Coturnix japonica: one gene and its partners. The protein of the gene in region 4 binds, or shares a complex with, the protein of the main gene of each other region. Links are inferred from orthologs where the notes say so. Each region holds a gene or a part of one and is shown on either strand. Other genes may lie near its edges.

Region 1 (8,135 bases), on a different chromosome or scaffold from region 4:
GCCAAGTGCAACTAACACCCCAAGGTCCATCTCCTCTACACAACTATCCAGACATATTGCTTTGTTGTCTACAGTGAGTAGACTGCAATGCCAGTCCAGAGGACCGTGAAACTTGAGAACAGTCTGTGAGACCCTGACATAAAGGTCTGTGGAACCAGACTCATGGCAGTACAAAACAAGATATGTTTAAATCAAAGAATGCACCTAAATGAAAAGAATTTTTGCAGAAAAATTAGAATTAGAAGACAAATTTGGCCTGGTTATTTTCCCTTTCCCATATATCTCTACGAGTACATTATTTTCATCTTACTCTAGTACCTCACCTTTGCACCTGCTTTTCCTCATTGCTTTTTGCTCTTTCCTTGGATACACTCATTTAGCAAAATGAGAATGGAGGAAATTTGAAATACCACAACACAAAGTATATATTACGTTTTTAAGCAGCATAAAATTGCAGGGGAAAAAAAGGTTTTTACTGCTGTTGGGATGATCAGAACGGCAGAGTTAAAGCAGCGTTGAAACCTTAAGCAAAAGTGAAAACTACAATGTCAGTGAGCCAACGTCCAGCAGGAGGAGCCTCCGAGCTTCCTATATGGATTTTGCCTGTATACTAGTTATATTCATAAAAAATACTAGTTATATTCATAAAAGCTACCTCAAAAAACATTTTCAGACTCATTTACTGCTTTATAAGGCACTCTTATTTGATCTACCAGTTTTGATGTATAAAACCGAGAGTTTACTACTTCAGGATCTTGAAGTAATTGCTGGAAGTGTTAGGTTCCTTTTAGGCATCAGGAAACAGACAAGCGAGGAAGAACAGACTAGTCATATAGTAAGGACATATCAAGCTTGCTAGAGAAGAAGGAACAAAAGACATGCCTGTCCCTTCAATTTCTCTAATAGTTTTTTCCAATTCTGTAGTCTTCAAATTGGCCCACAAGTCAACAGCAAACTTTCTGGCAGTTTACAGAACAAAGAATTTCATGTTCATAGAGCCAAACTAAATAAGGGCAGCATTTGGACATTTGATTGAGAATAATATATGACACACCTAAGCTTAGAAAGCATTCTAAAATGGAGGAGGAAAGAATGCTGTTTACTGGAAAGCAATGTGAATGGCTTCTGTACCACAGATGAGTTCTAGAATGGAGCTACCCAAGCTTGATTCTAACTTACATTCCTTGGTAATGCACCCTGTACAAACCTGCCTCTAACAAAATATTTTCTACCCTTATTTGTCACTGTCCATCCTGTTAACCGAACAGATAAAGGTGAAGCTTTGGTAATACAGATCTACTTTATCAGATGTTTCATTAGAAATCATACTTGCAATAAAACTGACTTTATCTGAAGTCTCTAGTCTTAGAGCTCCCAGATCTAATGCCATCGATACCTTAGTTCAATCCTTTTTGTCAAATGGGGTTAACTTACCCTATTTGTGAGGCAATTGAAGATCCTCCACAGCAAATATACTGAATTCAAAGCACTATTTAATCCCTTACCGACAGCCTAAAGTGAGACAGGGCACGAGTAGAAAAGAGAGGTACAAAAGAAACGTTAATAAGAAGTGGGACGACAGCTGAGAAAGCTTCCCCTCTGTCTATACATGCTTTCACTGCCACATCCACCTACCAGCAATGAGGATAACTGATGCTACCTAGGGAGCAGTGTCGGGGTGAGGGGGCTCTCTCAGTCACCTGGACTGCTGGACACGAACACACAGCTTCACCTCCTTATCTAGCACACTGCTGGGCTGAAGAAACCGACCATAGAGGCCCCCACCACCGAGAACAGCCTGAGGAGGTCGGCGGGGCTGCCAAAGGAGATGAAAGGCGAGGCTGCCCTCCCTCCCGGCCAGCTGGCTGGGAAAGGCGGGGATCCTGCCGCCTCCACAGCTCGCCGCCCAGCTTCAGGGCCCGTTGCCCTTAGTGAGAAGCCGCTTCGCTTCTCTCCACCCACACCGGCTTCTCACGTGCGGCTGCAGCCGCTTTCCCTCGCTTGGGTTTGAACTGCCCGCCTTTACCAACCGCTCCGTTCTGCCACCCCAGTAGCGCAGCCCTAAGGCGAGAGCAGGGCGGGGGACGGCCTGAGGAGCGCTGCCTCCAAGGATGCGGACGGCACCATCTGGGCTCCGTGCTCTCATCGTACTTTATACTCCAGCTCGGCGGCTCCCGCCGCTCCCAGCCCTCCATAAAGCGCCCCGGTGCGGCCCCTCTGCCCGTCCCGTTCTGTCTCTCTCAGGAGCCGGGCTGAGGCGTTCCCGCTGCTCACAGCTTCTCAGAGTCGGGCGGGAGGCACCTTCAGCGGGTAGCCCGAGCCCTCACAGGTGGAACGTTGTCTGCACCAAGAGCTTAAAATCTGAGATGTAAGGGTGCTGATTAATTCATTTTAATTAGCTTATTTGTACCCGACAGCTCAGGAGCTAGATAATCATACAGAACTTCTGTTTTTTCTTTCATGGTTTACGCTTACGGCTCCACCAGAAACACTGTGAGATAAAACATGCTTTAAATCGTTGGGAGTAACTCCGAATGTAACGCCTCCACCCAGGGCAGAAAGATGGAGGTTCTCCGTGGTAACTAAGGCTGAGCAGGGCGGGCTCCATCCCCCCCAGAGCGGGGAAACGGGGCGTCTCGGTGTACGGGTAGTGCGACCGGAGGGTAACTGTAACGGGTAAAAACATTAGGGTTTTTGCGCTGGTTCCTCGTTCCATTTTAGAATGCGAATTAAAGAGTTTAGAAATGGAATCCAGGGTTTCCCAAAGTGCTTTCTGTAGCAGTTTCACGCCAGTCGGAAGAATTTCTCTTCAGGACCGGCGTTTATCAGCCCGTCGGAACGGGGCTATACCCCGAGGGAGGCGGCGTGAGGCACAGAAGTAATGGACGTTTAAAAAGACTCCATCCCACCGGGGAGCAGTTAAATGATGGATATAATCAAGATAATGAATGATTTTCTCGGGACAATCGATATATATTTTTTTCTCATGGGGTATAATTAGTAAGTAGGTTTTAAAGCATCACCTCGATGCTTTAATCATTTCGTCAAACCCGTTTTAAAATACAAAACGAGTGCGGGGAAAGATTATCGGCTTTACTTTAATTTCAGTGATTAGTTACTTGTGAGGTGTTAATTACTTTGTGTCCATCACCGGAGGAAGGGATCGTTCCGTTTTGGTTGGTTGATTTTTGCTCCCGGCAGCAGCTCCCACCTCGGAGGACCCGGGGCAGCGAACATCACTGCCGTGCACGTCCCGTTATTCTTACATGTGTTTTATTCCGGCACTAAGAAGTTACACTTAACTTTATTTTCGCACAGCAGCAAGACAAAGCCGATGAGCCGCCTAGAAATCCTTAGCACGTTGTTATTACTTCTAGCTTTCCCCAGGAGACGGTTGTTATTCGGCGTTCGGAAAGACGCATTTCCTCACATCAGGGAGATGTTATCTACAGAGCAGTATTTGTTATACGTTCTTACGTACCTGAGGACGTGCCATTACTCACACAGGGACGCCTAAGGGGCACCCAGCACTCGCCCAGCTGTAGGGCTGAGCCGGTGACTGACAGCACCGCGGCTTGCCAGTTTGTTTCAATGCGGGAATACATGGCACAGACCGCAGGGTACCGAGATTTAGTTACCAGCGCCAGGCTCAGCTCACTAGCGCTTCCAACTCTCACTCCCCCAAGGCTCCATCAGCCGCTATCCGCTGTAAACCCGACACAGCGCCTTAAGGACGGCGATGCAGACCCGCCCCCTCCGGCTTTGCGTAGTGACGCCATCATTCGGCGCCGAGGGGACGGCGAGGAGTGTGGAGGTTGGTGCCGCTTTCGGCTTATCCCTGCCGGGTTGGTGGTGGTGGTAGATTCGGGGTGAGGGGGGAGTGGGGAAAGGGTCGACCAAGCCCCTGGGGGTCAGTGGGGAGGAGGCGTGGCTGGCGCTGAACCGAGGCGGGCTGGGGGGGGATCATTGAATCATAGGCTCATAGAATGAGCTGGGTTGGAAGGGACCTCAAGGATCATGTAGTTCCAACCCCCCTGCCTGGCAGGGCCACCAAACATACACATTTACTAGATCAGGTTGCCCAGGGCCCCGTCCAACCTGGCCTTGAACACCTCCAAGGATGGGGCATCCACAACCTCCATGGGCAGCCTGTTCTAGGACCTCACTGGTCTCCTAGTGAAGATCTTCCCCCTAATATCCAACCTAAGTCTACCCTCTTTCAGCTTAAATCCATTTCCCCTTGTCCTGGTATTATCAAGAAGGGGAGAAAAAATGCTTTCTTTCTCTGTATGGTCACAACCTTAAAACGTAGGTCTGCAGTAATACCTACATGTTAGGTGGGGGTTGCTAAAAAATGAATTGTTTGTGGAGTAGTTGTCTGATATTGTGAAGGAATGTTGGTGAACCTGAAGGCAAAAGGTTAGCGTGCCAGGACAAACAGAAGTCCTTTCCAATGTGTATCATCTTATGTAGCATATATTAAACAGAGCTTGAATATTTTTGTATTTATTTTAAAAGAACTTTTTCAATTTCTGTCAACTTTAGATGGAGATATTGAAATATTTGTGTAAGACAACAACAAAAAACATGTATTTTATTTGTTGTTTTTGCTTAGAACATGGATTCACAGAAGGACGTTCAGCCCCCAAAGCAGCAGCCAATGATTTACATTTGTGGAGGTAAAGAAAAGACATTAGTGGTATTCAATGCTCTAATAATGAGGAATGTGCAGTCATAGTGCCACAGAGTACAGAAATCTACATAACTGGGTTGTGGATCCTGATGATGCATTAAGCTTTATGCACTGATGCTCCCATATGCATGGATTACTTGTGGTTATTGATGTGGAAGTCGTTCACTAGAACCTCTGTTGCTGTGTGGGGGTCCTGCATCTCTAGAGGATGATAGCAGAACTTTTATATATTGCATCTTGGAGACAAAGTTTTTTTGGAAATAGTGTTGTCATTCAACTTTCACTAATGCACAGTTGTCAGATTTTCTCTACCTAAACATAAGTTAATAAAGTGAAAATTGGAGCTTTTGAGTAACCACTTTAAAAGCCTCAGAAAAATTTAGGCTTAAGAAAATAAACTTGGTGGCTCGGAGGGGCTGAGAGGAAGGTTTCATTAGTGGAGTGTGGAATGGTACAGTAATGTTTGGATACTTTTTAGCAATCTAAGTTTGCCAATTCTTTTTTTTTTTTTTTTCCTTAACAGTATCTTAATATAATTCAGTTACTTATTAAAATTCACTGCAATTATTTTCTGTTATGCTTTGTTTGCTAGTAAAAGGAATTAGACCATTGTTACATCTGAAAGCTATCTGTGCTTTAGATATGCTGCTTTTGTTCACTCATTGCTATTCTCCTTCTCCATCATATCAGAATGTCATACAGAAAATGAAATAAAGGCAAGAGATCCGATCAGATGCCGAGAGTGTGGGTACAGAATAATGTACAAGAAAAGAACAAAAAGATGTATCCTTTTACAAAGGCAGTCGAATGCATTTGGGAAGCTGTGGGGCAAGCTGTGTAAGAAAATTGACTTCAGATTTATGCATTCCCTCTTTTTGTTCTCCTTGACCCCTTTCCTCCCCTGATCTTTCCTTGAACTGCAACGCATTTTTCTTTAACTGCACAATTCCAGTGGTGGTTTTTGATGCCCGGTGATTTGACCTGAAGATACATCAATTTTATACTTCAGTTTAATATTTCTGGCAACTTTGCTCTGTAAATCCATTGGTGTATAAATGCATAGTTTAGTGGTTTAAGATATTAAAATATTAAACTTCACTGTGATACTACTTGCCATACCATCTCAATTCTGTCTATACTACTTTTAGAAATGGGTTTCTTCCTTAAACTTTAGTCAGAATGTGCAGCATTCTGTTAAATTCATTGGTATTATATTCATTTTTGAGTTAAGTGTTAACCTTGTTTTCACAGCTCACACCTAAGCCTTACCTGTGTTTCAGCTCTTCAGTGTTTTTTGGACTCCTGTGAACTGCATAAGATAATCTTGGTTTGAATAAATCCCAGTGAAGACATATTGAAAGTCACGCAAAATCAGGTCTGAAATTTGGATTTGAACTCGACAGGACCCAAATCAGGATAAAAATAAATGTGTAAATAGAGATTCTCAGGCTGTTTTGTGACCTTGCTTGTACTCACTAAAATAAGTAGGTCTACAGTATAAAGAAACCTTGGATAAGGTAAAACTGAAATAACGTCATTTTGCTTTTCGGATGATTTCTCATGAGTCTGTATTAAGAAGTGGTTGCCGTTTTGTACTGATAAGCCCAAACTTTTTGCATCCATTTTCCTGTTCAGAACATTTATATTCAGAATATTTAATACTAAAATACCCATAGCGCCAATTTGTCTTAAAAAACACTGCTGCTTTGTGTGTGGTGCTAATTTAGCCTGATTAAATGCTTGCAAATCCAAATTTTGTTTCCAGTGCTGATGAGGCTGTTGAAAGACAAACATGTCATTTCACTGTTATCTGTACAGTATGATACCACTATTAGGGGGTGTGCTGGCTGCTGCAGAAAGCAACAGGGATGGGTTTTAGTGGGCCCAAGGTTGTGGGCAGTGGTGAGGCTCAGGGCACTTGGAAGAGCGTCGGACTGGATTTAGACTGGATGAAATACTACACTGAAAGCTGATGTTTTATGGAAGCTCAAACTCAACGGCTGTATTTCTGAAGGGAATACCCTCTCTGAAGTCAAATCATTTTTAAGAACCATTTTATGGAAATTATATTTAATAAAATATAAATTAAAGCAGTGTTATATGTTCCTAATAGTCAGAACGTTGGAGAGCTGCAGCTCGAGCGACCCCGCGCTGACAGGGCCGGCCGAGCCCCTCAGCTATTCACTCACTACGCGGCGCTCCTTCGCCATCGCTCCGCTGTGCATGCGCGGGCAAGGCGGGCGTCCACGGCGGAGGTGAAGGCTGTTAGGAGCGCGGTAGGTGGGTGTCAGGGCCGTCGTGTAACTCCGTGTCCTCCACAGAGCCGGCGGGGCTCTGCGGCTCCTCGCAAGGGGTTGGCTGTGTGGTTTCTTGCGGCTTCTCCGTCTATTACCTCCCCACAGCGCCGCCGGCCGCCATGTTGTACATAGCAACGGCTGCTATGTTGCCATTGCTGCCTCTCGGTAGATCTCCGTGAAGAAGAAATCGTGGCATCAGGTCATCAGGCAGTAGTTCTGCTGCAATTAGTACCTTGTAGCATTAAAACACGGCTATTCCTTAAATTAGCATTGCTCTAGCCCCCAGAGATTTATTTTTCTTTTAATGTTTAGTGATGAGTGATGCGTCAATAATGTATTTGCTGGACCAAGGAACTACTAAAACATATCAAATACCTATTGGTCATCTCGACTACAAGTTCATTGAAAAATGTACGGATGTTCCATACCTGGAAAAGATTCTCAAGGTGCTAAGGTAAACGTTATCTTTAATGAACTTCATTACTAATTGTATTCCCATTCTATCTCTCTTGAACCTCTTTGTAGTTTTCGTATTTAAAACCTTGAAATTAAGATGCACTGTGAAAGTAATTGTGGTAAAAGCGTCCAGATGATTAAATGAAGAGTTAGAAATTCAAGTCCACAGTGGATCTGTGTCTGTATGTCTGCTGGAAAATGGTTAACTGAGATTTTCTGATCAAAATCAAGAGGTGATAGATTTCAGTTAGAACAGGAAAATAACACTCTATAGTCACTGCATACAGACAAGTATGGATGTTTGTGGGGAATGCAGCGTAATTTAGTTCCCCTGTGTAACTTGCTTATGTGTTCATTTTAAAGGTCTGGTGAAGAGGGATGTTATCCTGACCTGATGTTGTTTTGTGAAAAGCGTATCGAGCATTTAGCTCCAGGGAGCAGAGTTCTCAGAAAGGATAAGCCAGCAGCCACAGCAGCTGATTTTACAGCTGAGGAATGGGAAACAATTAATGGTGAACTGATGGTACTGTATGACTCTAGTTCATTGTGGTCAGTAATGTAACCTCTTTGTTTGGTCAGTCTTGACTGATTGTTCAACCTCATTTTGTGCTTAAGTAGAACACGATTATTTGATTAAATGAGGAAATGATAGGAGGGTTCTGTTGTGGTTTTCTTTGTTAATATTTATT
Region 2 (6,996 bases), on a different chromosome or scaffold from region 4:
GCGCCCTTCCTCCCCTCCTCCCCCCCGCTACAGTGGTACGGCCACAGGCAGCGCCATGATGGAGCCAGGCAGCGCTATGACGGATCAGACAGGGGACTCAGCCCCCCCGGCCCCAGCCACCCCTTCATTTGCTGAGCTGCTGCAGCTGGTGCAGAGGGGCCAGGCCCCAGCCGGGGTGCGGTACCCCAACGCCTCACCCACAAACGACAGCCCCACAGCCTCCCGGCTCCCGCGGCCACCCAAGCCCTGGGAGAGCCACCCAGGCCGGCCCTGAGCCACTGTGGCAGGCAGGAGATCCCACCACCCCCCTGGCTGCCCTTGGATCCCCCAGGAGGACGCAGCAAGGCTGGCTGCAGCCACAGCTTTAAATGCTTTTTTTTTTTTTAAAGAAACATATAAAGAACTCTTAACATGTATAAAAATCTTGGTGCCAACCAGACGAGGCTCATACCTGAGGAGAGGCCACAGCCACCGCTGGGACTTGGGGACACAGTCTGCCCCAGGGCTGAGAACCTGCCTGTGGCCGTGCACCTCTGCAACCCAAGAAGCGCTGGAGCCAAGGTAAGAGCCAGGCTGGAAAGCCATCTGCTTTCTTCTTTGGGTCAAAATATTGAAATAAAAAATAATGACAAAAAAAAAGTGCAATGCACCGTCACTCCCAGCATTCGCTTCATGCTGTTTGTGACCTATTCATCTTTACAGCTGCTGCCAGCTCTCAGCAAACAGAAAACTCACACCGCTTTCAAGCCGGCGGCCCGTAGGAACAGTGATCCTGCTTGATTTCCACACACGTTGTAATAGCAATCTCTTACAACGTGCAAACACCAATGGGACCGCATTTCTGCACCGTGCGGCACCACCCCATCACAACGCAAACATGAAATTAACCTTGTGAACTGCCTGACAAACCTGAGAACTTAACCCTTGAAGCCCATAAGGGGCAGGACTAAGGCGTGCTTCCTCTCTCTCACTGCAGGATTAGTGCTCCAGCGTGAGCCTTAGCTTGATGTTCATGGCTGCCAGCTCGGCCAAGAAGTACCAGAAGACATGGGGCACTGGGATGACCTGGATGGTATCCATACTGCCACACAGCATGCAGGAGTACCTCCTGTTGCTTGCCACGGAGGAAGGTGGTGGGCGCTGGAGCAGAGGAGATAACATGCTGCCACAGCTGGTGCAGACATAGGCTTCAGAGGCATCGGAGCAGCTGAAGAGGCGGTCGTGCAGCAGGAAGGAGGTGCCGTGAGCCAACAACGCATCACGCTCCATCTCACCGAAGCGAATCCCCCCTTCCACGTTCCTCCCCTTGATGGGCTGGTTGGTGACGGAATCCCGAGGGCCCGTTGTCCTCACCTGGAACTTGTCGGAGACCATGTGGCGCAGGCGCTGGTAGTACACGACCCCCACAAAGATGTCTGCCTCCAGCTCCACGCCGCTGATTCCGCTGTACATCTTCTCTGTCCCAAAGAAGTTATAGCCCGCGCTCACCAAAGTCTCACCAAAGTACTTCAAGGCTGAGTTCTTCTCCGTGAAGGTGAAGGGAGTGGCATCGTAGTAGGCACCGTGCAGCGCTGCTGACTTCCCCGCCATGCTCTCAATTAACATCCCGATGGTCATACGTGAGGGGAACCCGTGGGGGTTGAAGAGGATGTCTGGAACCATCCCGTTCTCTGTAAACGGCATGTCTTCGACGGGCCACAGCTGGCTCAGGATGCCCTTCTGCCCATGGCGGCTGGCAAATTTATCTCCAACAGTTGGGTTTCGAGGAACTCTGACGGTGATGCAGGCCTTCTTGAATTTCCCAGTGCCACGGTCATTACTGCACAGCTTGATGTTGTCTACAATGCCGACCTCTTTATTCCTGTGTAGGTGGAAAAACATTGACAGCAAAGGTATCAGATGCGCTCGTCACTTTGAGCTAGGAAACGAAGCAAAGACACCAAACCACTTTTAAGTCTAATAAAATCTGGGGATCACGTTTTTTTGAAGAATATCATTCAGGGAAATCAGAGGGCGTAAGAATTGGAGCACAGCAGCCAAACAAAGGTATCACCCAAGTGACATTTGTTTGCTGCTTCTAATGCCAATGGCACAGCTGCAAATTCCACGTGATGAGGTAATGTGTCACTTGTGAGAATAAAGTACAAATCATTGAAACCTGGTTCATCAGTACCTCATCTCATCAGACATGCCAGTTGTTTTGCTTCAAGGCAGCATTTTCCTGTGCAATAAATTAGCGTTGTCCTCATGGGACGCTAGCATAAATGAACAGGTTCAGGGCAAAGCTCAGAGAGGAAAGCTCAGGAGCAGAGAGCAAAGGCACAGTGAGAGCTGAGTGGGCCCTTTGCCAACAGGTGTTTGGGGCTACGCTGCTGTTTCAAGTGAATCCTCAGCAGATGTTTCACATGCTGGATGTCTGCTGCAGGCTGAACTCTGAGTCAAAGCCTCTGCTCTCAACCCCTTCCAAGCCAAGCTTAAGATCCAAGCAGTGTGTGCAGCACAGTTAGAACAGCAGGGAGAGTTGCCCCTTCAGGTTGCAGGGTCTCTGGGGAAACTGGGGGCAGGAGGCAACATTGAGAGCAAGGAACCTCTCCATAGGAACCTAAATGAATACCTCATATAGAACCGTAATGAACAAGCGCTGTAGAGTTCAGAGGTAAAATGGGTGTACGGGTAAGGAACCTGAACTAAGGTGAGGCTGGCATAAAAGAGCTGGCAAACAGGAATACGGAGTAGGGAGCCAGAACAGGATCCACAAGGGAAGGAGCATAAGGCTGAGCTGACAGCAAGTTCTGGCAGTCCTCACTGCCACGTACTCAATCTTTCTGCTCTGCTCACAACCAGTTATCTCTCCAATGCAGTTTGAATGCACTCATTGTATAGTATTAATAGATAGCTTTCCCAATAAAAACTGGTTATTCTGTTAACCAAGCACTTCATAAGCTAATTTTCTCTCTAAGCATGAATAACAGTACTATCCTCACTCTACAAATGCTGCAGACAGGGCATGATGTTGTATTGACAACAGCTTCAGGCAAGAGACTGGCAAGTCTCTGGGGACCAAGCACCCAATTCAGTTAACATAATACTGCAGAAAACGACAGAGACGGACAGACGGGCAGCACTGGGGAGACAGCAAAACATTTCTGTAAGTTCTCTCCTTTTACCACTCCCAGACTTATTTCCTAGGATAAGTCAGATGCTGCAGCTCTTGAGCGTACACTGACTCCAAGCCACACAACATGCATCAATGTCATGCTCCATAAACACACAGACACCTTAACTGCTATGTGAGAGGAAAAGGGAACACCTAGAAGAGCATCTCATCAGGTTCCACTGCTACTGACTACTCAATATTTTGGGACAGAAGGAACAAGCTGAACTTACTGGTAGTACACAGTGAAGGTCTCCCCTGTGTTGAGATTCATATAGCTGTAGAATGGGTCCCCAGGCTGCAGGACGGAGCCAACAAAAGGCAGTCCATCAGCATCCAACTTCTCCTTTACATTTGGGTCCCCAGGCCTGATACCAAATACTAAATTATCACCTCCCCTGTTGCCTTTAAGGGAAAGGTCAATGCTCTCCATCTTGATAACACTTCCATAAGCAAACCCTCTCTCCCAGGAAGATTTGTTCACAATCTAAGAGAAAGAAAAAAAATGCCGTTAAGAACTTGTTAGTAACTTCAAAGAAAGCATTTCCATTCTGATCTGATGCACACCTTTTAACAACACCATCCTACGTTAAAAAAAACCCCAAACCTCCCAGCCAATAATCACTCCAACAGGCTCAGGTCTCTAACAATCTCATTTTTTTCAATCAATGCTGGAAGCCCACAGCCTTGCACTAGGGAGCTCTGCTCTACTCTCACTACCTTGAGCATTACTGCAGAAGGTGCATAACAGCATGTGTCAACCCTAATGGAACTGACTAGCAAAAGCAGAAAATGGGCTCTTCTCAACTGCATACCACATTTCTTCACAACTGCCCGCGCCAAATTCCTTTGCAGAACAGTATAATCCCTTCTTTTGGTGGCTTACCATTGCATCTTCCATGTCATAGCCACTGTAGGAGATGACAGCCACAACTGAATTGGTACCAACTGGGTAGCTGTCTATACCGTAATAGTCGTACATTCTGGGCCTCACCAGAGGGCTCTGAGGGGTATGGAGGAGGTACAACTTGTTATCTGAGCGGTCCTTGTAGTTATACACTGGAAACCCCATGGTTTGCTTTCCTATAAAGAAAGAAAGTTGTATTTACGTAAGATCAATTCACAGTTAAACAGTGTTCTGTCCTCCAGGCATGTTATTAAGGACAAGGCTGGAAATACCTAAAATGAGTTATCACTTGCTTGTCAACTAATTGAAACTCCATCTACATACCACATCCCAATTGCCGGCAGACAACCAAGTTAATCAAATCACTGGCAGAGAAAAAAACAAGAACTGCTTCCATTGTGCCATTTTAATATCCTGCAACAAATGCCCAGTAGCTGCTCTCTCAAAAGCTGCAGTCACAGTGATAGTGCAGCCACTGAGAACAGGTGCAAAGAAACCTCCACCACTTCAGAGCATTTACCCTGGCTGCTTGTGAGAAGCAGGTCAACCTCTGCCAGCTGGGGGATGAGAGAACTCCTGCCAGCACAGTTGTTAATACTGACAGCCCCAAGCAGCTGGTGCAGTGCCTCACACTAACCTGTGTGATCAACAACCTCAAATTTAAGAAAAAGCCTACAAAAGAACCAAAAAAAAACCCACAAACAACTTGACAAAGACTTAAGGCACTGTGAGCACTACAATTTAGAACTGCCCACTGGAATGCTGTCTGGATGATAAACTTGACTTCTTTAACAGTCACTTATTTCATGGCAATCAACTTTAGAGCTGTAAGAACTGCTGGGAAGAGTTGCCATGTGGCAGCGTGGGGGTGCACACACGAGATTCTCTCCCCACCCCCTTTCCTTGCCTGAAGACTTGCAGCTGTAGGCACTACAGTACGTACCCATCTGGCACTGGTACATGTTTCGTGGACTTTGGTTGTGATCAGAGAAGGGGATGAGGTTGGCCACCACACTCAGAATGCTGTGAGGGAAGAGCTCCTGGTGAGTGGTGACTCCAGGCACAACGTCTGACTCCATGGTGGCCACGTTCATGAAGACCTGCAAGAATCACACATAGGACACGTTGGAGAAGCAAGACAAAGCTGCCCCTGGTGACTTCTCATTTCAGTTTTAGCTGTGGTTGCTGACTGTACCTCAGTGTGCAGGCAAGTAAAACATCAGACAACTACTGAACTACTCTACCACAATCACAGACAACTGCAAGGAAAGCAGGTCTGAAAGTATGAAACTGCGATACGCATCATAGTTCCTCTCTCTCATTTTAATTGTTCCAAGTTATCAAGTTTCCAGGCAAGTCACTACTTGGCTGCTTACTGGTAATCTGCAGAATGTGATATAAAAAGCGATGAGACAGCGATCATCCACCTAAAGAAACATTCACTATGTTAATAGTGAAAGCAGACTTCACTACTTGAAAAAGATTTCTCCAGCCTACCTCTAAGAAAAGTACCAAAAACTCATTAGCTAGAAGTGAGAAAACCCTTCGGCCACCTATTCCAGCTCTTCAGCACAAGCTACCTACGTCTCATTCTCAGCTCCTTTGAGGAACACTATGCAATATACCGCTTCTATGCAGGATACTGCTGTAACAGGCAGCGCTTTATAACTGAAATATGCAAACCTACCTGTTCCAGAGTACCAATCCATTCCTTCCTTCCATACTGCAAGTTTTTGACAGGCCGCACCATTCGGCAAGGGGTAGTGAAGATGAACAACCCAGGATACAGACTGGGTTTTCCTGTCATTGGGATAAGGACCACTTCGGCCCGTGCAGGAAATCTCTTCTCTTGTGTTATCTGTTTGTGTAAAGGAACACTGATTTAGGAATACAAACCAATATTGTTTTAGTTAAGCTGCATCCTACAGGCTAGGTTCACACCCACAATGGAACTACCAAGCATGGATCCATCCATGGATGTAGCTATTAATACAAAATGGTGAAGAGCAAATTTAGAAGGTATTTCTAGTAATATCTCCACCAAGATTACTTCTACCATGCTGAAAAAATAAGTTCTCACAACAGTGTCAACATCATAAACCAGGAGACCAAACTTAGAATAAATACAAGAAAAAACAAAAAGCCTAATACTAACATGCAGAATAAGATAAATTATCAGGTCAGACTTGAAAGGCAAACAGAAGTTAGGCTTCTTTAGAACTCTGGTGTCTTTTGGTTTATTTCTGGCCACTGCATATGGAGCACATTTAGGTAAGTCACATTTTAAAGAAGACAACCTTGAATCGCCGGAGGGCTTCTGCAACCTGAGGAGCCAGGTCCCATTCGACCCAGCCCACCACTGCACCATCCAGCACCACGCGGTAGCACTCAGCGTACGGCTTGCTTGGGGTCGCATCAATGGGGACGACACCTGTGACAAGATGGGGCAGGGGAGGGAACAGCCAAAAAAGCAGACAAATGCACGTTATTTCTGCAGGAAGCCTCAATCCACATAAAACAGCTTTATGAGCCATCAGAAAAAATTCAGAACATCTGGACAGGGCAAAGTGGTAGAGGAGACTGGATGGAAAACATAAAATGTGCACAAGTGAGAATGCCATTTCCCATCCAGCCCCAGCACTCTTCTGGATGAAACAAAACTCCCATCACTGTGCTAATCACTGGAGGAGCTGCAGTTTAATTCAAGTTACTAGAACATTTTCCACATATGGGTTTGTAGGGCAGAAAGGTAAAAATGAAGACTGCTTCATTAGATAACTGAGCAAGTAAACTGTACCTAGAGCACATAACATAGGTGGAAGGTCTGTCACAGGAACCATCTCTGTCACTATTTCACACACAGCTGTCATGTGGTTCATCAGACCGCAGGGCTCTCCATCTGGGGTGTCCACAGGGCACAGGAACCCCCAGGACT
Region 3 (7,278 bases), on a different chromosome or scaffold from region 4:
TTCAGAACCCCAGTTCTTTTCCTATGGTAACTTATTCAAGCTTATATTGTTTTGATTTCCTTGACTGTTTTTGATTCCAGATTTTTCTATCTTTTAATCTATTGTATTTGTTCAAGGTCTCCAACACTAGTTCCATACAAGAGTTTACTAACTAAAAGTTTGGACTCTCATCCAATGCCTAATCAATATGATCGTGTAGTAGGGCATTCCTTTTTCAGGTTTTTGGCAGTTGCATAGCAAATTGAAACTCGGTGTAACCCTAAATTCAGGTCACTTCTAGCTCTTCTAAAATAGATTCAGCGTTTACTAACGGTAAGCAAGGTTTTGAGCCATGTGCTTTCAGCTGCCTTGATAATAATTACAGCTGAACGTTTACTACCTTATTGATGGTTCTCACCCACACAGATTTCAAGAACCCTTTAATAATCTTTCTTCACCATCTTCAAACTGGAAAAAAATACTTAAGTTCTTACTGGAATAGGCTCCCCAAGGGAGGTGGTTGAATCTCCATCCCTGGATGTGTTTAAGAGCTGTTTGGATGTGGTGCTCAGGGATATGATTTAGCAGAGGGATTTTAGAGTTAGGGTACTGTGGTTAGGCTGCAGTTGGACTTAATGATCTTCAAGGTTTTTTCCAACCTGGGTATGATTCTATGATTCTTGGTGCACACTTCAGTCTCCTATTGACACTCGCCTTCTCCCACACTTGGTTTTTATTGTCAAAGCTCTCTATGAATACACTGTTTGAATAAAACAATACCTGTAAAACCTGCTTCGAATAGAAATATTTTGCATGTTTGCTTTTTTATTTATTTATTTTTTTATGTCAGTAATGAGTGTCTCTTCCCTTTCACTTCCATGCAGGTGTTTACTATATTATTGAGATTCTTTCTATTTATGATGTGAAACACTGTGGTATGGACTGCTTGAATTGCAGGTTTGTTTAGAGCATGCCTTTCATCTCCTATGTAATGGACTGATAGATGAAGCCTACCAAAACCTGTCCCTGGCAGAGAGTTGGAGGTTTGGAGAAAAAACAGCTGTTCAGGATAAAGAAATGAAGCTGATTCAGGCTTACAGGGGGCTGCTGGACTACTATATCTGGTCCAATCAGAAGAACATACTGTTAGAGCATGGTAAGTCCAAATACTGCTTTTGTATTGAGCTGTAAACTTCTTATTCTTGCAGGCATTGCTGTTTGCTGCAGTCATATTTCCATATAAGCTACTCTTCTGTCTGCATTTACATATGAATGCACCAAAAGGAAGTACTAGCCTTCAAAAGCTGAAGGTATTGATGGTATACAGATAATCCTGCAACAGTTCTGGTGCCAAAATAGAGTACTAACATGCCTTTTTTTCTTAAAAAGTATTGACTGGAGCCCTTTGCAAAATGTAATCACCTTGTAGGTACACCACTTCTTCAAGATAGTTCTTAACTAGGAAAGCTAACTCTGTGGCATTCTTTCATGTTTTCATAGGGAAGGATGGATTTGAAGACTTGTCTGTTGAACAGGAAATGAACAGTCGCTTTCGGAAGGCAGCAGTGAGCTTAAAGGAGATCATTAAAATACCTGGAATCTGGGATCTCTTTGTGAAAGCCTATGTGGATGTAAGAGTGTATTTTATAGGTCTCTTCCTTTTGTGTTTGCCTGTCTAATTTTCATTTAGATACAAGTCTGTAGTTCAGCTGTGTGTGTGGATGACAAGTAGTTTAAAAACAACCTCTGGATTTGATTTAGGCATGTCTGTAGGACTGCAGGGCCTGCGTAGTGTATAAAAAGGGCTTTATCTGTGAGCTGCCAAGGAAAAGAGGCAACCAACTTGCACATTCTGTTTTCCTGGTGCTAGCAGAGAAATTGGAGCACAGCTGCTTTGTTTAAATTCCTGAAAGCAAGTTCTCTTTTTGGCAGGACGATGTTTTTCTGGTGGTACTAAATCTTGGAAGCCAAACATGCGGTCCCTCTGTTTTTTTGGTGGTTTTTTTTTTTTTTTCTAAATATCTGCTCACAAATTTTAACTAAGAAGTGAATCTTAGAATTGGAAAGGTTCACTCTAAGTGCAGATACACTCAAAGAAGTCAGAGTGTTTCTTATGGAATTTTACTAGATGCTGACAGCTGCCAAGTTCTCCGAGTTCTCTTCAAAGACGTGGCAGTCTGCTTCCATTTTTTTTTTTTTCCATTGAGGAATGATGGTGATTCTTTAACAACCAGGGAAGTGCTAATGTGATTTTTCCTCTGTAGCTGCTTCTGTGTGTGAATTTTTAGTTAATTATGTTAAGAGTAACCAGTAAAATTAAAATACTTCATTATAACTCACATCCAGTTTGCTATGCTGCTAGATACAAATGGTGCTGTTGGGTAGTTCTGTAGCAGCCTAGAATGAACTGTAAGTGTTTAATTGCTAATGTGAAGTGAACTAATGACAGGCTTAACTTCTTAGCTGATGGAATTCTACGGAGACCACCAAGAAGCTCGTGAAGTATTAACGGATTATGCTTACAATGCAAAGTTTCCCACAAATCCCAACGCTCATGTTTACTTCTATCAGTTCCTAAAGAGACACGGTGAACCAAAGAAATCACTCATATCTGCTCTCAAGGTATATATAACATATAAATGCAGTCTGTGGTTGTTCATTTTGCATAGTGGTCTGTTGGTTTAGTTGTCTCCTGTTGTAGTATTTACCTTATTGTATTTTTTTAATGGGAAGCAAAGGGTTGGGGTGTTCTAATGGGTGGAGCAAATAGGATCCCTTACTGTCTTTGTTCTACATGTGTAATTGATGCACCGTAAGGTCAGTAAACAAGCTCAGATCAATTTTCCATGGCTCAGGAAGTACATGTAGGTAAACATGCATTAATTTCCATTGTAGTTTGATCTTTACAGAGTTGAATAAATGATGAGGTGCTTGCTTTTTTTCACACACCAATCCCACCTCGCAGTTAGTTTCATTGTTCTCAATAAGCAGTTAACTTAAGGTTCAGTAGAAGTTTACTTCTACTGACTGTTAGATAAAGCCCTGCTGCATCATTGCCCTTTGTGTAGCTGCTTTAGCTTCCCCCTTTTGTTGCCCTTGCGCACTGATAACTTTTCCAATAATGTTTTTGAACCTCTTTTGCCACTTGATGGCACTAAAATGCTTTTGTTTGGGTAAATGGTTTTAAAACAGCTTCATTGAGTTTAGACTTGGATCGTGGCCGTTATATGTAAAGTTTCACCTTCACAGTGTGTTATTTATTTTTCACATTAATTTTATAGGCTTAATTTTATAAGATAGTGGCAAATCTGAAAACTGGTCTGATACATCCTGCGAATGCACAGAGCAGATGGGAGCTGGAACTGGGCTAGGGGTTGCTATCTGAAAAGAAGACACTGGATATAGGCTGCTGCTGGAAACGTTGCAGTTGTTGCAGGGTTTTTCAGTAGTCATGAGGGCATTTCATCTGTATTATCACCAAGCAGTGTTACAGATGTGCAGAATAGCTTTCAGTCGTCATTATTTGTATCAAGACAATTGGGTACCTGATTGCACAGTTTTCCTACAATACTAAAGAACTCTGCAGACATTGCTGCTTTGGATTTGGTAGAAGCCTTCAGAAGCTTTTACATCATTTTAATGTATGTTTTGGGTGTTGTTTTTTTTTTTCCCAGAGCTTGCATGATATTGTTCCCTCTCACGAACTAATGATAGATTTTAATACTATGCTTCAAAAATCAAGTAAGTCTTTAAATATATTTGTTCTTTTCCTTTATGTTAATCTAGAATATTATGAAATTGTTCTAATTTGCACTGAAGTAGTTGTGCTTATTAAAAGAAAAATCCCAATGTGACTTTCTGATCACAGGAACCTTCAGTGCAGATGAGTTAAGTAGGTATTTACAGGCTGTGTAAACAAATGCATGTTGAAGTTTAAAGGCTGACCAAGCAGTAGGTTGTAATGCACAGTCAGGACCTCAAAAATGATTTGTTTGGAGGTACTCTAGTCTGAATGCTCATTTCACTATTTCTGAGGTACACCGTTCTAAAAGCTAAACTCAGTATTTCCATTATGGTACCTCTTTTCTGGAGGAGCTGAGATGGATTTATGCATTGGTTTGCTATTTATCAAAAGAACAACATCTTAAGTGAGTTTTTTGGAGACAGTTTTGGAGACTGCTTTTCCATGCTGATCAATTGCTTTCCAAAATGGGCATCTTCTTGCAACCTGGTATGTTCTAGCAAGTCAGCAGATGGATGGAATGTCTTGGAATCAAATTTATCCTCTTCTGTTGTTCCTCTTTGTGAAAAATAAAAATTCTTTTGGCTGAAACCTCCCTTTTTCTGTTCACACATGATATGCTTGTGAAATTCCTGTAGCTCTTGAAGACAATCTGATTTTTGAAGTAGTAATTTATACTGGTAAAGATTTCCAGCTTTTACGTGCTGTAGTAGGTCACTTTTAAGAACGCCTTTGGTATATTGGCTGCTGTTGTGAAATACCTGTTTTATTCATATCAGTCCAATTTCTTTGTTTTGATATCTCAGCACTTGAAATGTTCCAGGGCGCTGTGTTCTCTTCCCACAGGAAGAACATGTTGAACAACAGCACCGGCTGGAAGCACTGATTACAACAGCAGCAACTGTTGTAAGGAAGGCAGTGTGGGTTAAGTGAGTGGTCTTGTGTGCCTCTTTGAGTCAGCAGCATTTAAGGAGGGTCTCTGCAGTGAAGTGTGCTCTAGACCCATGGACACTTCCTTGGCATTCTCTCTTGGAAGAGGCAGAAAGCAGTGGGGGGAGCCCTCAGTAATAGGGAAAGCAGCGGTATGTGGGAAGGCAGTTTGGAGAATGTTTTCCCTGTTGCTTACTAGTAAGTTCGTATTAATCCAACTGATTCATTTATCAGCCTAATTTCTTTCCAGAGAAACAAAAAAGACGTCGACTGGGGCTAGAAGTTATTTTTGCAGTCTTGGATTATGCTGGCTGGAAGGAAAGTGTAAAAGCATGGAGTTGTTTGGCGAGACAGGTGAAACAAATTGTAATGTGAGTGTAACTGATGTAAGGTGCTAAAAGAGGAATGTATGTGTCAAATCTCCTCCTGCGGGCAGTTGACAAAGTGACTCTTCTGTAGTCTTTGTCTTTCATGATGGCAAGTGGAAGAGTGGGCTGGCCTGTACTGAGATCTGTGGCTGTGCTTGGCTGCAGCATGCTTTCAGTGGCAGGAAAGAAGAAATTATTACTGAGAGAAATTCTTAAATTTCCAGTATTATCATTAGCTGAATTACCAGGTGAGGTGTTTATGCAGAAAATGCTGTTCAAATGTTTGGATAACATTTACTGCCTGTCACTGTTCTCCTTCCAGGAGGAAAAAAAACCCAACAACATTGTTTGGTCTTCTGCTATTAAACATATATTGGTTGCAGCAGATTTGAGGATGAGTGTGCTGCAAAAGGGATGTGGTGCGTTGTGCTGTTGTGTCGTGTTCTTCTTTGATAACTTTGGTGGTAACTTCTTCAGAATACAATGTGTTCTTAAAAGCCAAGTCAGAGTGCCTGGGGACTGATAAATACTTGCTTGTGTGTTGGGAGGAGGACTCTGTTTTCAGGAGCTCCATCTCCAGGCAATCCATGCTCAGAAGGTCTCTAATGTCTGGGGTTTTTTTTTCCCCAAAAGTAGAGGTTTTAATTTTTCTTTTAAGCCTTGTATACTTACAATGAATCAATTTAGTACCGCTTGACCCATTTTGCTGTTTTATTGCTGCCTCTACATACTCAGAAGGCCCGAAAGTTAATGGATTAAAACTGAGAGTGTTGTTGCATATAGTTAGGAAAAATGGTACAATACTTCAACTTTGCCTGTAGTTTTGCTTTTGAGAACACAACTTCAGAGTACCTTGAAATATACAGGGCATCTTAATCACTTTATAGGAATATCACTTCCCTGTTTTCAATTGTAAAATACTGTAAGGTCTCCACTGCCGAGTTAACTCCACTGAGTTAATGGAGTAAGGTAAGTATATGAAATACAGTAGTGTTTAATTATGCATAGATTTATCCAAAGTTTTTCTTTTAAAAAGAAAATTGCTGCTTAAATAGTTCAGCCTGCAGTGTAGTGTCAAAGTCTGCCAGCACACCAAGCTGATTATAAAACTCAGTGCCTCCTCTTTACTATTTCATCTCAGTTTTTCTTGTTTTACCTTTTTGCAGTTCTGAGAAGCATCTTAACTGGATTAAGAAGGAGTGGAACTCCAGAAAGGACTGGTGGCCAGCCTTCCATTTTAGCCGCTACTTAGCAAAGAGGAATTGGCAGGAAAATGAAATCCTTTCGTATGAAAAAGCTCTGGTGGCTGGAGTTCTACTAGGAAAGGGTAATACTAAATGTTCTTTCACACTGTGTACACTAGAAAAAACACCTAGTTCTAGCCCTAATGAGATAAGATGCAGCTGGTCTACTCCCTGGAAGAATGCTGTTTCTTTCTTCTAGGAAAGACTGTGGTCTTTGAAGTTCTATGGGAGAAAAACATTTAAAATGGTTTGATATTCCTCATTTAGAGACATACATTGCATAACTTGCCTTATCCCAGGTTTGAGTTCAATTTTATTTGGCCTTGTTGAGCAGTCACAATACTACAGACTCTGTTTATAACCTTGAAACCACAATTTCAAAAATATACAGCAGGCTCCTGAGGCTACAGAAAGTTTGCTCACTGAGCTACAGTCTAAGCAATGTCTTAGCAAATACTGAGGGTGAGGTGATCCTTAAGGACCTTGTGAGTGATGAAGCATAGAAAAGAGGAGGAAGGAGGTCTTGAGTGAAAATAGTCACTGTCCAATAAAAAAAAAAATGAAGATCAGGACTTCTATGGTGGTGTTCACTGAAACATTGATGAAATCAAGAAGTGGTGACGAAGTTCAGAATGAGAATATGGTGTGGAGAGCATAACTTATCTATTAAGTTTGGGCCTTTAGTTAATTAGAAGCTTTATTCTTTCAGTTCTGTACCTTACCTTCCAGACTCTGTAGAACAGTTTCTTGAGTTGAAAGCCTGTTTAGGTCTCAGTAATTTGATGCTGCAATTATGTTGATAATGTGTATGTCTTTGATTGTTTTATTACCTTATTTAATAGGTACTTGCATGCTTGTGTGTTACTTAAAAAGCAGAAGTGTTTTGTTTGCTTGTATGACAAAGCTGACATGGCTTTTTCTTCTCTTGCTTAGATTGCAAGTACTTTAAATACGTGTCACGCCAAGGCTGCAGAGCTCAGGTGAAAAAGTTTCGGACTCTCAAGAAATTTGTGAA
Region 4 (7,463 bases):
GGGGACACTCAGCTGTCCAAATGTCACTGCACAAGTTGTTTTGGTGCTTAAAAGCAAATCCTTTGCTTTAAATGCCGGATAACGTATAACTGCTTTTTACTTCATAGTAACTGTCAGAAGTAATGAAAAGCAGCTACTGTCTGTTTATGAGCAGATCTTATGTGCAGAATCCTGATAAGTGTTGTCTCATGCTTACTGACTTTGCTTTAGAGTGAGAAACTGTTTTTTGGTGAGATGTTTCTTCCAGACACCATTTTACTAGGTCAGTAGTGCCTGTCTCTACAGATTCCTTAATGTAGGTAAAACCACAACTGCTGACTGTCAGAACCTTTATGTTGTGAATTACTGCCTTTTTCAGCTCTCACTAAGAACTTAGTTAATTGAGCATTAAGATTCTTATGTATCTAGTTGTTACAAGTAGTAATTTCAGGGCTGTTCCTTACAGCTATTGATAGCTACTGTGTTTTTCTATTTCTTTTTTCCTTTTTGTAGTGTTTTAGTTAAACCACACAGTTGTTAGAAGGGTGCTGCAGGAAGCATAATGTTATCTAGATTTTCTTTTCCTTCTAAATAGAGTATTCTGTAAAATACACGTTTTTTTAGCAGATCTTGTGGGGAGAGCAAGCAAAATTAGTGTAAAAATTTCTCCGTATAATTGGTTCTGCTTCCAGATATTTCTTACTTGAATACTTGAATTTTCCTCTGCTTAAACTAAGAGCAAAACCAAAAGGAAAGTAAGATTCTAAGTAAAACAGATACATTGTTTGTGAATGAGGTTTGCATACCTTGCTCAGCTTGTTACATAAACTTCCCATGCAGGCTGTTGGTCGGCCTGTGTGTGTGTATTCTTGCGTTAAAGAATTTTCATTGGTGAGGGTGCAAGTTTAGTTCAAGAAATTTCTTCTGTGCTTGTATGAAAATAATTTTAATTTACAGTCTTAATCTTTGACTTGTGATTCTGTGGGTTTTGCTACTCAAAAAAATTCTATTGTTTTTGGTCATATTTTTATTAAAATAGATTTGTGATTTTTTTATTTTATTTTTTTTAAAATACATATATTATTCCTGTATATTATTCCTGCTTATATTAAGGATGCCCAGATCATTAACTGGCTGCATGAATTTCGAACTTCTGTCACATATCTGACCAAGGACTTCGAGCAACTGGTCAGCGTTTTGCTGGTAAATACTGATTTATTATATGGAAAGGTTAAGAGTTTAGTACTCAAAACATCTGTTTGACACCTTGGTCTTTACTTACTTTCAGAAGCTGCCATGGTTGAGAAGAAGCCGAGAGGTAGTGGAAGAATATCTGGGTTTTCTTGGCAATCTGGTGTCAGCACAAACTGTCCATCTTAGGCCATGCTTGAGCATGATTGTATCCCAGTTTGTTCCTTGTAAGTTTTTTTTTTCCCTCTTAATATTCTTAATTATTTCAAAATAATTATTTTGTATATGAGTTGTGTATGCAGAATTATACATCACAATCTAATTGTATATTTTCTATTGATTACTTTAACTTTAATGACTGGATTGCAGTACAAACCATTTTATGTACCTAGACTTCAGAAGATCTATTCTAATGGGTAACTAAAACTCTAAAGGCTGTTTATTTAAGATGTTTGGGAGGGGGAAGAACTGTGTAATGTTACAACTGAAAAAAAGAGTCTCTAATGGTGATCGTATGAGATGTTCTTAAGAACCTCCTGGTTTTCTGATTGAAACAGTTATTTCAGAAAGTCTTGTGGATAATTTTGATGTTTTAGTCACACTGAAGACTGTTGTCAGTGCACTTCCATTTAGCATTGGAATTGTTGCCTCATAAATTTGCACAGTATTCCAATAATGATCTCATTTTTGGTAGCTCGAATAACCATCAGAGAGGATGATGTGGACATTTCAGATTCTGATGATGATGAAGAAAGTGAGTATGGAAGGAAATATGGCTTACGAATGCTTTTGTAATGCTTTTACTATGTTGGTTTATTTTTGCTAAATTACTTTGCAGGAGTTGATATAAAACTTTAGTAGCTGTACATCCTTAAATTACAAAGTCAGGAATTTTTTTATACTTGAATCAATGGTGTTATGAGTTAATCCTCATTACTTGCAAAATACTGGTATTTACTGGTGCAGTATTTTTAAGATTCAAGCTGAATGTTCAGGAGAGCATTCTTAGTCCTAGATAGTGTCAAAGCCAAAGGATAGGGAGGAGTTGTCTGTTTTCATTTTACTTACTTCAATAAAACTGGTCTGTTTGGGAAATTCTTGAGGCTTTTTGTTGTCTGCTTGTGGTAAACTCAAATACAATTGATATAAATAATGAAAACTATGTGTTTATTGATTAGACAGATTGAATTCTTACAGGATAATTAACTATCTGCATCTTTGTATCTTGAATGCTGTATTGAATTTCAGCTTGGGTTGACATACCTATTCCTCTGGTGTTTGCTTGTGGCACTGTTTGGATTCAAGGGGAAAAAAAAATCATAGAATCACAGAATGGTTTGGGTTGGGAGGGACCTTTAAGATCATCTCATTTCAACCTCCCTGCTGTAGGCAGGGACACCTCCCTCTTGACCAGCTTGTTCAAAGCTCCATCCAGCTTGGCCTTGAATGCTTCCAGGTAGGGGGCACCCACAGTCTCTCTGGGCAACCTGTTCCAGTGTCTCTCCACCCTTACAGTAAAGCATTTCTTCCTAATAATAGCTAGTCCAAATCTTGCTCTCTTCCAGTTTAAAAACATTTCCCAGAATTCAGGTGGCTCATCTCATTATTGTTAAAGAAGCCTAATTATTTGTGTTCTTGTTTTAACTCTTGCTAAATAAGGCATAATTTTTTATTTTTATCTAGTTTCTCACTTGATTTTAATGTATAGTGTGCCCCGGTGGTGCAGTGGTAGGAATGCCACCTTGCAACACTGGGGCTCGGAGTTCTAATCCCCCCTGTGGCACAAGAGGTAGAAGTGCTGCTCTGCTACACAGAGGCTCGAATCCCGGGGGTTGGACTCGATGATCTCTAAGGTCCCTTCCAACCCGCACGAGACTATGATACTATGATATTTTCTAAAATTTTTTTTTTTTTGGGGGGTGTAAATTTTCAGTTTCCGAGTTAGGCATTCAGCGTAAGTAGTATGGCAACAATACCTGGCTTTGGTGGTGGTGGCAAATTAAGAATTTGTTAGCATAACATGAATTGTACTTGGAGTTAATTTTCATAGTTACTTTAGTAGTTGGGCAGTCCAACTTAAAAACAAAAAACAATGCAAAAAAAAAAAACCAAAAAAACCCTGACAACAAAACCCAGTGAATGCCGTCTCCTTGGGGATCTTTAAAATGTTTAACTGACTTGAACTGTTTTAATTGATTCCTGAGTTAGTTTTCTGCAACCAAATGGATAATAGCACCTTCTTCGTTCTCTAGGCCTTTCTGAAAATTTTGATACATGCCACAGAGCATTGCAGACTGTCGCAAGATATGTTCCTTCGTAAGTATTTAATTCCTTGGTTTCTTCTGCTCTTTTCTTATGACAATAAAGCTTGGATATAAAGCTCAAGAACATATATATATATATATATAAGGTATATATATAAAAATATATATAAAAATATATATATTTTTTTCTTCTCCATATTGGAAATGCAATACTTAATTTAATTGAATGACTCTTCCTAATGCCCAGTAACTGATAGGATGTTATATCCAATCGTAAAATGCCAATAGACATCAGCAGCTGACAATCCTGTTAATAGCAATAGGAAACACAAGGAAAGTCATGCTTATAGCAGCTGACTTGAGGTAGCTTTTAACAAATCCACAGTAAAAGTTTACTGCCTGTTGTCTCTGCAGTAACAGAACAAATGTTATGTAATCAGTTATCTTAAAATAACATTACTGTGAAGTAAGAATAAACTGATTCCAGTCTGTTTTTGTAGTGCTGGAGCTTGTTCTCATGATAACAAACTGTATTTTTTTTTTCCCCCTTAATGCAGAACACTGCAGTTTCTTATGCCAATACTTGTGGAAAAATTTCCTTTCATTAATAAATCAGAAAGAACTCTGGTAAGAACTGTGAATATTACATCTATTTGTTCACTCACTTCTTAATATAGGAAAACACTCTACCGTATAATGATTGATTTGGTGGTATTTTATGCAGATTTTTGAATGTGTCGTTTAAAACTCTTGTAATTTTTTAACTATGGAAACATATGTCCAGGTGTGCCTGTATCATGAAAGGTTGTCCAAACATGCTTAAGTTCCCTGTGCATAAGCATTATGCAGCTGTTTAATGAGATAATTGCATGTCTTTTTCCACGTGATTGTTTTCTTAATCAGTGCACAAGATGGCCTTCTTTGATAATAAGTCTCAGAGTTGTGTAGTAAGGATAATGTGGAATACCTGTCTCAGTGTAAAAATTAGAAAGTATTCTTTGGAAGAACAAGGAATTTGATAGGCAGACAGAAAGCAATGGATGATTTAGATGAAATCTATAGGATAGGTTATTGTGTAGTTTTATTACATGTCTGTTACGATGCTCCTGTGTGGTGGAAAGCAAGCTGGAGACTTTGAAAAGTTACTGTTCCTGTATGGTCTTTATTTTCACTCTTTACAACTTGATATGTTGTCATTTGCTTGCTCTACTCATTAAAGTCAGATGGAGCTGTTTTGAACCTCTCAAGAACTACTTCTTCCCTCCCTGCACTGAATACTTGGCACTTCTTGCTAGATTTTTTTTTTTTTTTTTTTTTAAATCCAAATAGCTTTGGGCATCAAATCTGTATCTGCAAAATGAGGTAGATGTTGCTCAAAGGATGTTAAGGGATTTATTTATCTATTTATTTATTTTAAGTATTTCACTGAGATGCGCATTGTGGAGAAATTTTTTCAGGGTGGGACTCAAGTGGAGCATAATTGACATGTTGACCGTGCATTGTTGCTGAATATTTTCAGCTTATAGATTGTCATTAAACTGGTGCTGTCTGTTATATGCGCTGAGCAATATAGCCTGTTGAAAAATTGTGTGTGTTTGTGTAATTAAGGGTTGCATTATATTACATACTTACAAAGAGACTGTGGTGCACTTAAATGTGTCTTTTTAGCTGCTTGTATGTATTAGCTTGACACTTCTACTCTATAAAGTTGCACTTTTGCCATTTGCGTTTGTATATGTGTGGGAGTGCATGTTCACTTACAGAACTTGTTGGTTCTAATCTGTTTGAATTGTAATCAGAAAAACTCTAAGGATGTTTAGCTGTGGTACTTAGAATTGTCTGTTTATTATAGTAACCAGAAATGAAGATCTCTTGGCCTCGCTTCAAACAGTGCTGCTAGACCTGATTCTAGAATTTTTGAGTAATATGCTTGTTGTTTTCATGTTCTTGGGAAGGTTTATGCAAAAAAAAAATCATATGGAAATTGATGACTTATGCTTATTCTGCTGGAGATACTTGGAAAAAGGTACTTTTCACCTGTATCTGTCTCTTTAAATGACAAGTTAGGAAATATATTTTGTAAAAATCCTTGACATCCTAGACTTTCAGTTAACATTCTTATAGATATCTCTTAATTTTGTGTTATAGGAATGTTATGTTCATAACCTACTACGAGTTACAGTGTACCTTCCAACACTGAGGCTTCAGATTCTGGAACTTATTGTTGAAAAGCTGCTAAAGTTGGATGTGAGTTTGCTCTGTATAGTCTTTCAAAGAAGAATTACGTTAAAATACTCTTCAGTATTAAGCTTAACAAAAATTATGTTCCAGTAGAACTCACGATCATCAGAATAGGGCTGTTGTGGTTTAACGTGGCAGGCTAAGCACCACACAGCAGTTTGCTTGCACCCACTGTCCTCCTTGTGGGATGGGAGAGAAGCTGGAGGGGGCTTTTAGCAAGCTGGTCTAGAGGAGGTGTCCCTGCCTATAGCAAGGGGCTTGGAACTAGTTGATATTAAAGTTCCCTTCCAACCCAAACCACTCTGTGATACTGAACAGGAATGTTTCATATTGCTGTTATGGTCTTATAAAACTTAATTTCTTGTTTGTAGGTTAGTACTCCCCAGCAAGATATTGAAGATGCTGAAGAAGCTGCCAATAACAGTGAGGAAAAGTCTACAGAGGAGGGACTTTTTGACATGGTTGTTTATTTTGTTTGCTAAGTTTTTTAGTGGAATTTTCACCTTTGAAATCCTCTGAAACTTAACTGTAATAATACATTATTGCTTTGTTGTAGCTGATCTGTAAACAGGAAAAATGAAACAGATTTTCAAGCCTGAGTAGCTGACAAATGATTAATGTATTCTCCCCATGCCAAAATTAATCATATAAATATCCAGAATATGTATGGTAGATCAGTTTCCTTATGAAAAAAACTCAGGCAGCTGTATATAAAGCTTATTAAAGAATTAGTTGTAATTGACTTAGTTTACAAAAATGTTGCTTAGACTGAGCTGTACTGGTGTTGCTTTAAAAAACAGCAACAAAAACTTCACCATGAACATAGATACTTTGTTTCATTTTTCTCTATATAATTATAATTAAGTTATGGCATAGTGGTTACGCACCCTTCATATGCACTATCTTACCTACCAGGAGGAAGATGATGAAAGAAAAAAAAACGAAGTTGTCTCTCCCAGTAATGAGAGAATGGCCCATCCACTTGCAGAGCGACTGGATATTTTGATGACCATCCTGTTTGCCTATATTAAAGATGTTTGCCACGTGGATGGTAAGAATACAGGAACAATAAATTTGTTTTTCTAACAAATAGGAAAAACATACGAAGAATTCTCTATTGCAGCAGCAGAAAGTGAGTCTTCATCCTTTAGTTGTAGAGTTCTGCTATTAGTGCCTTCTGGGCTTTGACTGAAGCTGAAGGTGTCATTAACAGCCTGATCTTTAGTTGGAGACATTTTGACTGCATAAATATGGCACTGTACCCAAAGTGTAATGTGTTGGGAGTAAGAATAAATAGTTTTCTTTTTTCACTGTGCTATTAAACTTCTTAGGGGGGTCAGAAAAACTTTCTAATTAACCACAGTATTTTATTGTTTGCTTTGCTGTTTTAAGTATTAGAATTGTGGATCCTTTGAATATCGTAAACATAAGTAGTAGATTAGACGAACCAGGCTTTTCACTCAGTTGGAAGTGGTAAAGGACTTGTATTAAAGGAAAAACCTGATTTTATTTATGTATCTATTAGGAACACAAATCTTACACTAGCATTTATTAAGGGGCTGAATATTAGACTTATTTAAAACAGAATGTTTAGAAAATTGTTTTATCACATTAGTGAGGCAATTTTATTTTTTAGTATTTTCTTTTGCCTCTTCTGAAGAAGCACGTTTGCAGCCTGTCAGTATTGCACATGCTTACATTCACAGATATAATCTAATGTAAAAAGAAGTATATGAGGAATAATTGAAGTTCTGGAAGGTCTCACTACAAGCATTTTATTTTAGGCGC

What was found.
Region 1: RRN3 (region 4) and POLR2K share a complex: the UniProt entries of both Homo sapiens proteins name them as parts of the pol I pre-initiation complex. The link is inferred for Coturnix japonica from reciprocal best matches to the Homo sapiens genes RRN3 and POLR2K.
Region 2: RRN3 (region 4) and POLR1B share a complex: the UniProt entries of both Homo sapiens proteins name them as parts of the pol I pre-initiation complex. The link is inferred for Coturnix japonica from reciprocal best matches to the Homo sapiens genes RRN3 and POLR1B.
Region 3: RRN3 (region 4) and TAF1A share a complex: the UniProt entries of both Homo sapiens proteins name them as parts of the pol I pre-initiation complex. The link is inferred for Coturnix japonica from reciprocal best matches to the Homo sapiens genes RRN3 and TAF1A.

The regions. Positions count from the first base shown.
Region 1 is NC_029517.1:116,284,320-116,292,454, forward strand, and holds POLR2K (DNA-directed RNA polymerases I, II, and III subunit RPABC4), read left to right. Parts: upstream 1-3,719; 5' UTR 3,720-3,739; coding exon 3,740-3,814; exon of another isoform or gene 3,815-3,845; intron 3,846-4,615; coding exon 4,616-4,679; intron 4,680-5,383; coding exon 5,384-5,476; intron 5,477-5,645; coding exon 5,646-5,668; 3' UTR 5,669-6,134; downstream 6,135-8,135. Other genes in the region: SPAG1 (sperm-associated antigen 1), read left to right, coding at 7,305-7,444, 7,810-7,969. UniProt on the Homo sapiens protein: DNA-dependent RNA polymerase catalyzes the transcription of DNA into RNA using the four ribonucleoside triphosphates as substrates.
Region 2 is NC_029518.1:13,951,976-13,958,971, reverse strand, and holds the end of POLR1B (DNA-directed RNA polymerase I subunit RPA2), read right to left. Parts: coding exon 6,859-6,996; intron 6,493-6,858; coding exon 6,359-6,492; intron 5,920-6,358; coding exon 5,749-5,919; intron 5,162-5,748; coding exon 5,005-5,161; intron 4,238-5,004; coding exon 4,041-4,237; intron 3,642-4,040; coding exon 3,388-3,641; intron 1,862-3,387; coding exon 979-1,861; 3' UTR 563-978; downstream 1-562. UniProt on the Homo sapiens protein: Catalytic core component of RNA polymerase I (Pol I), a DNA-dependent RNA polymerase which synthesizes ribosomal RNA precursors using the four ribonucleoside triphosphates as substrates.
Region 3 is NC_029518.1:15,720,994-15,728,271, forward strand, and holds part of TAF1A (TATA box-binding protein-associated factor RNA polymerase I subunit A), read left to right. Parts: intron 1-936; coding exon 937-1,135; intron 1,136-1,479; coding exon 1,480-1,610; intron 1,611-2,442; coding exon 2,443-2,601; intron 2,602-3,653; coding exon 3,654-3,720; intron 3,721-4,901; coding exon 4,902-5,022; intron 5,023-6,185; coding exon 6,186-6,346; intron 6,347-7,196; coding exon 7,197-7,278. UniProt on the Homo sapiens protein: Component of the transcription factor SL1/TIF-IB complex, which is involved in the assembly of the PIC (pre-initiation complex) during RNA polymerase I-dependent transcription.
Region 4 is NC_029529.1:39,142-46,604, reverse strand, and holds part of RRN3 (RNA polymerase I-specific transcription initiation factor RRN3), read left to right. Parts: intron 1-1,092; coding exon 1,093-1,182; intron 1,183-1,267; coding exon 1,268-1,397; intron 1,398-1,864; coding exon 1,865-1,924; intron 1,925-3,422; coding exon 3,423-3,486; intron 3,487-3,991; coding exon 3,992-4,061; intron 4,062-5,582; coding exon 5,583-5,681; intron 5,682-6,046; coding exon 6,047-6,136; intron 6,137-6,590; coding exon 6,591-6,726; intron 6,727-7,463. UniProt on the Homo sapiens protein: Required for efficient transcription initiation by RNA polymerase I (Pol I). Required for the formation of the competent pre-initiation complex (PIC).